Linked DNA regions of Coturnix japonica. The protein of the gene in region 1 interacts with the protein of each later gene in a pairwise test. Links are inferred from orthologs where the notes say so. Each region holds a gene or a part of one and is shown on either strand. Other genes may lie near its edges.

Region 1 (3,821 bases):
TCTATCTTTCATGTTTGCTGCTATTGTGCTAGTTTTTGGGTGCTTTTTCAGGAGTTCCATAAAAAAAATAAAAATAAAATAAAAGTCCAGGAATTACAATATTGAACTTCTTGGTGGTTTTTTTTGCAGGGATACATATAATTATCGTGTAACTGTGCTCTGTCCAGTTATTCTTTTGTTTCATAAAGTGGAGGTTTGTTCATTGAGTACTGTGGTCTGGTTCTTCAAATATGACTGTGTGGTATTTTGAGTGTTTCAGTCACTTCTATACTGATCTTAGTAAATGGAGTTCAGGAGACAGAAGTTTAAGGTAACTCCAAGAGCTTAATCTAGAGAAGAAAATCAACATCTACATTAGAAAATATAGCAACTTTGTTAAGACAATCTAAAGAGAACTCAATTATTCTTTAACTGAAATCATATGGAGAGTGTAATTGTTTGCCCAAGCAACCTTATTTTTGTCATTTTCTGTTTTGTGTTTCTACTGTTGCCTTTACAGTTATTGTGAACAGCTGCTTCTGAGGTGTATTTCTAAATCATGCTTAATGAATAGATTAAGGCTGTAGGGTGTATAAAGTTGTTCAAGGTAGTCCTCCCACGGACCGCGCAAGTATTCATTGGAGAGCAAACGGCAAAGATTCAAGATCAGGAAAGTATGTCAGCTGTTATGCTGAATGTTATGAAGAGATGTCAGAAGACCCTTGTGTGGATGCTTGTCTTTTGGTTTAGGCTGAAAGTTGATTCATAGCAAATCAGTAGAACATATGAGATTTTTAGAAATAGCAGGCAGGCTTTCTCATAAACGCAGGTTGCTCAGATCCAGAAAAAATTGTGTGTTAGACTCTTTTCATTTAAGAACTAGCCGTGAAGCTAAAAAGTTTTGTTTTTTTTTTAAAAGAAACCCCGTGCATGGTTCAAATTGTACTGAAAAAACCTGGCAGCCTGGGAGAAGTTGCACTGAAACTTCAGTATCAATTTAAAACGCTCAGAGGGAAAAGGAAAATTAAGAGAAAATGGTTAGGTTGCAGGCCTCCTTTTGTCAAGTAGGACTTTTTGATGTGGGTGGAGTCATCCCTTTAACAGAATCTGATGACAAAGAATAACTTAATGTGCTTGAAAGCACACCTCTTAGTGAGAACAGTAACAGAGGCCACAATACATATCTTCAGCTTTTGTGGTGACCATCACTAGACTGACATCTACTGTAGCGTTGGCCCTGTGGATTAAAGTTTGCAACTTGGGTCTCTTCAGCACACCAAGAGCAGTTCATGCTCTGCAAAAGACTTCAAGTGAAACCAGTGCTCTCTTAATTTATTTACCTTTGACTAACTGAGAACTACAGCTGGTTTCTAACGCAAGCAATCACACGAACACATTAAGGTAAGTGTTTAGATACAACAAAAACAGTCAACTTTCTTTGATTTCAGCTGTTCATAGCACTTAGTCAGCACTGCAGCAACTTAACAGCATGACAAGGTATCACCCCACAGATTATAGTGGGGTGTATTATATAATATTATAATTAATATTATATAATATATATATATAATAATATAAAATAATAATATATAATTATTATATATTATATAATATTATATATAATATTATATATTATATATAATATTATATAATATATATTATAATCTATATTATATAATATAGATTATAGTGAAATGAAGCTGTTGAATGACAGCGAAGTCAATCTGGGAGGTTCTCTGTGTATTGTCTTTTTTCCTAACTTGTCTGTATGTGTATGTTGGTGTTTATTTAGCTTTAATTTATGGCTGTTATCTTAGCAGTTACATGACTTAAGTAGCTGTTATTCTGCTCTGCATTGTATATGGACTGACTTGGTAGGTAGACAATTTAGAAAATTCTTCTCTGTATTGTCCTCATGGATGACTTCTGTTACAGATTCTCGAGAAGTAAGTTGGGTTACCCAAATGAATTCACTGAGTCCCATTGCCTCTAAAGGATTTCAGAGTTTTAAGTTAGTGCTTCAACACTGCAGACTTTCAGGTCTTGGAATGCTGTTATTTTAAGAATTCTGGCTTTTTACACTCTATCAATAAATTGTTTCTTCTTATTTCCCATTTGTATGAAGACAATGAAGTTTTGAAAATAGCAGTGTAATAATGGGCTTTTGTCCCATTCCTCTTACTGGCAGAACTGGCATTTGGTGTTGTAGTACTGCAACTGGAAGTTGTATCTCTGTGTCAGATTATTTGTCAAATTATTTTCCTAGATCCTATCATGCTAACTTCTTAAGAAAATATACAGTAACCTGCTGCTCGAGAAACTTCATTTCTTGGCTATGTTAGAGTCTTCTTTATTTTGCTTGTAGATCAAGACAGTCAACCTGCATGTCTTTGACTGAGAAAGCTGATGAGATCAATAAGCTTCTGCAGTGAAACTGAACTGTTAATTCATCAAGTCAGTCTTAACTCCATTTAATTCATTCAAGCTCATTCAGCAGGCTTCTTTAAAATGTACTTCTTTCTGCAAATGAAATAAGCTCTTCTATGCTAGCTTGTTCAAGTCTAGTCCTATAACATTTCTTTTTCTCTGAACCAAATAGGAACTTTCACAGTAGTGATTCTCCTACAGTTTGTAGGAGAAGAGACAGTTCTATATATATCATAAAGCTACTTTCAGATTGAGCTACTTTTGGTTTTCTGAATGTATATGAGTTTTCCGAGGCAAATGGATTTAACGGTGCTTCTAAGATTTTGTTTTCTCATCTGAGCTTTTGAGGGGAGAAAAAGAGTACTTGTTAAACTTGTTCACATTTCTTAATATTATTCAGTGTTTTGTAGCCTTGTACTGTTCTTATATCAAATTATGTTAAACAGGACCGTCTAAGCTAGCAGGTACACCTTCCTGTAGTACTTATATTAAATCCAGCCTTTTTTTTTTTTTTTTTTTTTTTGTTTTGTTTTGTTTTGTTTTGTGGCTTCCCTTAGCTATAAGTGGATTTTCTTTTCTGTAAGATGTATGAGGTTAATTTGTGCACTTACTGAAATGGCTGAGAAAATGTAGAATCTTTTTCATTTTACAGGTCAACAGCAAGGACAGGATGGAGTGAAAGTGCAGCAGGCTACCATAGCACCTGTTACTGTAGCGGTAGGTGGCATTGCTAATGCAGGAATTGGTGCTGTTAGTCCTGATCAGATAACACAAGTGCAGCTGCAACAAGCTCAACAAGCTTCTGACCAGGAAGCGCAACCTGGCAAGAGAACAAGAAGAGTTGCCTGCTCGTGTCCTAATTGCAGAGAGGGCGAAGGAAGGTATGTATAAATGTTATTAATGTATCTTGTTACACTTTAAGTCATTTTGGCTTTTAATTTGCTTATGTCGTATCCTTTTTTAGTGCTATCTACTGCGAAGTATGTTTATATATTCCTTTTTAGACAAGGGGTTATAACTATCATCATGAAGTAATTTTCTACAACAGTTAGTAGTGTTTTGGAATAAAATTACTTACCTGTTTATATTTTACCTTTTTAGAAGCAGCAATGAGCCAGGAAAAAAGAAACAACATATCTGCCATATTGAAGGATGTGGTAAAGTTTATGGCAAGACATCTCATCTTCGGGCACATCTGCGCTGGCATACTGGTGAAAGACCATTTATATGCAACTGGGTTTTTTGTGGCAAGCGATTTACAAGGAGTGATGAGTTGCAAAGGCATAGAAGAACCCACACAGGTTGGTCAGCCTTCTCTATGTATGTAATACCTTATGTCTGGATCGTAGTGGCCATGGTTAAACAGCAATATCAAAGACCTCATTAGGGTCTCTGAAAAATACTTTTAAATATAA
Region 2 (3,821 bases), on another chromosome or scaffold:
AGTACACCACCAGAGTGGGGCAGCAAGCCATCGTCCTGTGTATCTCACCATCCAAACCCAACCCCGTCTTCAAAGTTTTTGGAGCTGCACCCTTGGAGAATGTGGTAGGTATCTCTAGAAAAAAGCCATACAATAAATTGCAGGTTTAATTCTGGCTCAGAGCAGCCTTGTGAGCCTGGCAGTGATCTGAAGGTCATATTTAAGGCCCGGGAAATAGGGGTTCAGTGTATAAACGTGAGTTGAGCACTGAGTTCCTGTCTTCTCTGCGTAGTTTTTGATTGTCCAGCACAGTTCCCCAGGGCTAATAGCCTCAATTAAGAGTGCAGGGTGACGATGGATGTCTTTGAGCACAGCATGCTCCTTGCCACAGACCTGCCAGCAAATGGAGCAGATCCTGACTATGATAAGTCTGACTTCTGAACTTAACTTTGATCCCACAAATCCTTCCACTTGGTGATGTTACCCAGCGTTTCATCATCATCCTTCGATGCAGCCAAGCCTTTGGGGCCTGCAGGTGTTTTTGCATGGAATTGTTTGCTCTTTCATCTCCCCAGCACCCTGGGGAAGGCGACAGGCCCTGCTGCTCACCTCTCCTCTCCTGGTGCTCCTCACTTTGTTTACCTGAGCTTAACAATTCCCCACAGGTACGCAAGTACAAGAGCATGATTCTCGAAGACCTGGAGTCAGCGCTGGCAGAGCACGCTCCTGCACCTCAGGAGGTTAACTCAGAGTTACCACCCCTCACCATTGATGGCATTCCAGTCTCAGTGGACAAGATGACCCAGGTAAGCACAAGCATGGTAGAAATTCAGCAGAACCAGGGAGAGATGTGGCATCCTACAGTCGCATCCTGTTATTCTGCACCGGAGTTTATGTCTGCATCTCCAGAGGTCTCTTCTTTCTTTCCCATGGGATGTGACAGCTCTAGTTAGATGTGAAGCTTTGTTATTGCTGCTTATTTTCTGCATGTAGCAACAGCAGAGTTGTTTCTCAGAGCTTGAGGCTGTAGGGAGCACCCCTTTTCACAGAAGAATGGCCTGGGCTGGAAGAGACCTCAAGGTCCAATATTATCCCCACCACAGGCAAGGCCACCAACCTCCACATTTAATACCAGCCCAGGCTGCCCAGGGCCCCATCCAACCTGGCCTTGAGCACCTCTGGGGATAGATGGGGCATCCACAGCCTCTCTGGGCAGCTGTTCCAGCACCTCACCACTCTCATAGTTAATAACTTCCCCCTGGTATCCAGCCTAAATCTTCCCTCCTTGAACTTCAAACCATTTCCCCTTCTCTTGCCATTATCTACCCTCTCAAGGAGTTGACTCCCCTCTTTGTGCTGTTTTTCTGACCTCCCATACACCATGAACAGGGGCAGCACTTGGTCCTGCACACTACAGTGATTTTTGAGCCCTGAGGTCAGGGAGGTGGCTTCTGCTGCACCATTTTGGCTGTTTCTTGCGTGTTCTAGATAGTCCCCTCATTTTTCTGCTGGAACAGAGCAGGGCTTGCCAATTATTTAAGGCCACATCAAACCTTGGGTGAGATACTGATGGAGACTGCCCTGGAGAAATACGGACTTCCCTTCTGTCCAGGCCCAGCCCTTTGCTGACTATTTTTTTTTTAATGATAAAACTGGATATTAAAAATTTTAACATCAGGAGTTAAGTTTTCTCTGCTTCTCTTCCAGTGAAGCAACCTTTCCTCCAATGATCTATGAGAAAAATATTATTACTTCTCATGTTAGGCTAAAAATGAGGTTTTTCCTTCCAAGCATGACATGTCCTTAGCCTTCAGGAAACTCTGCACAAAGATTTAGACAAACCAAGGTGCCTCTGATGTTTGCTTGCTTCCCCCCACCCAACACTGAGTGTTCTATCCTTCTTTTGGCTCAGTTAAAGGAGAAATGCTTTTACTTCCTTTCTTCCTCCTTCATGTTTTGCAGGGAAAAACTGTGCCAACTGCTGATGCAACAGCACAGCAACATAGGGCTGCTTAACGCTGCATGAAAGAACTTGAGCTGTGGTAAAACAAGTCTTGTGTTAGGAGTAACTCTCCTTTTTTCAGTGCAACATGATCACTCAGAATAGCTTTATGAAGGTTTCTCCCAAGCTGTGGACAGTCTGTGCTTTTCACATCCAGTACTGCAGTGCTTTACGTGTGTATTATGGGCTGGTACTGAAGTCCAGCCCTTCTCCTGAGACTCTGGAGTCAACATTCAATTTCAGTTTCCCTGCATATCACACAGGGATGACATATTGTAGGTGTTCTCTTAAAATTTTAGAGCTCTGAATACCACGAGGCCATCTGAGGACAAAACTGACTGCACTGCAGCCTCCTGAGTGGATTTTCACAACCCAGGAGGTGTTCCTCCTTGCAGAATATTCAGGGAGTAAATATGGTACATGTGATGGTTATGAGGTAATTCCATTCCTGAAGGAGTCCAGCTGCCATACAGTTCTTGCCAGACCCTTAAATAGAAGCACAAAGCAGATGTGTTGAATACGACGAGGCTGCTGTCATTTTTGTGCCTCAGTGGCTCAGAATACATTACTTTGAGAGAGTGGATGATAACAGCTAAATCACTGCAACATGTTGCATGGCTGGAGATGCTGTTGCTTTCTGTAAGAATTCTGATTCCCAGAGCTGCTGGTACAACTCCATTCACTGTTAGCAGCTAGAGAGCTATTTGACAGCACAAAACTCTATGGAAACACGAAGCCTTGTGGAGACCCCAAATATTTGTAAGTACAAATGGAGCAGCACCATGAAGAGGTGTGCCTATGGGAGCTGCAGGTGCCTGCAGGCAGGTGGTAGAGATGTCATCTCCTCAACAGGGAGAGTGAAAATCTCTCTCCTTTTAATTGCTCTGCTTCCTTGTTGGTCTGGAGGGAAATAAAGGCTGAGCAGGGCTGCTCTGAGCAAAGAGCATCACTCACCTCATCTGTGCAGAAGATAGGAATGGCTCTGCTAAGCTGGTGCTCTATGCCAGAGCTGTACATGTGCTATGGAGAAATGCCTGGTTCTGCTGTCCTGAATTGGGCTCCTGCAGCTGGGATGCTCCATAGTCCCACAGCTCCCTGCTTGGAGCACCTTATAAAAACCTTGATGCATGTCTTGCTTTTCAATCTGTATGTTAAAAGTAAAATGGTCTAAAATTAGCTGTTGAAAAACAGCTGCAGTTCCTTCTTTGCCCTCTTCTACTCTCAGGAGCCCCATGTGCTGCTTTTTGGAGATATGTGGGGCCAAGAGAAGACTCCCAGCCATAGGTTTTTTGCCCTCTGGAAGCCTCATCAGGGCATTAACCTTAAGCCCTGGATGCTCCTCACACAGGACCCCTTGTTCCCAGCTCTTGTCCATGCTGTATACTGTTGCAGATGATAGAAATGAGGTTAGTTTGCTTCCATTGATACTTGGACTACATCTTCAGTGGTCCCTTCCAACCCCTGTAATTCTCTGATCATGTTTAGTACTAAAACTGAGAAGACCGAAGGGTGTCAAGGAGACATTTCTTAGGATTCCTCTCAAGTTTTCAATGCTGGAGGTTATAAAAGCCTTTCCCAGAGCTGACACCAGGGTGAGCTGTGGTCTTTTTGGGAAGGGCTTTGCTTTTTTGGAGGATGTTTCACAGATGGAGGCTGCAGAACGTGGCTTCCATAGATCCTGCTGGCTGCACCCCTGGAAATGTGGAGTCTTTGTCTCGGAAGTGCTGGGGTGAGGTCTCGTTATGGTACTAATTAGAGCCATCCTAGTGCTGGAGCAGCTGATTGTCTCCCTGGTGGATTAAAGGCAAGCCCTCCTAACAAGTGCCTCGAGCTGCTGAAC

Evidence for each region.
Region 2: the proteins of SP4 (region 1) and NRF1 interact in binary tests that used the Homo sapiens proteins (3 or more experiments, as listed by UniProt). The two-hybrid records come from large-scale screens. The link is inferred for Coturnix japonica from reciprocal best matches to the Homo sapiens genes SP4 and NRF1.

What each region holds. Positions count from the first base shown.
Region 1 is NC_029517.1:28,004,268-28,008,088, forward strand, and holds part of SP4 (transcription factor Sp4), read left to right. Parts: intron 1-3,058; coding exon 3,059-3,287; intron 3,288-3,507; coding exon 3,508-3,707; intron 3,708-3,821. UniProt on the Homo sapiens protein: Binds to GT and GC boxes promoters elements. Probable transcriptional activator.
Region 2 is NC_029516.1:843,056-846,876, forward strand, and holds part of NRF1 (nuclear respiratory factor 1), read left to right. Parts: coding exon 1-104; intron 105-644; coding exon 645-785; intron 786-3,821. UniProt on the Homo sapiens protein: Transcription factor that activates the expression of the EIF2S1 (EIF2-alpha) gene. Links the transcriptional modulation of key metabolic genes to cellular growth and development.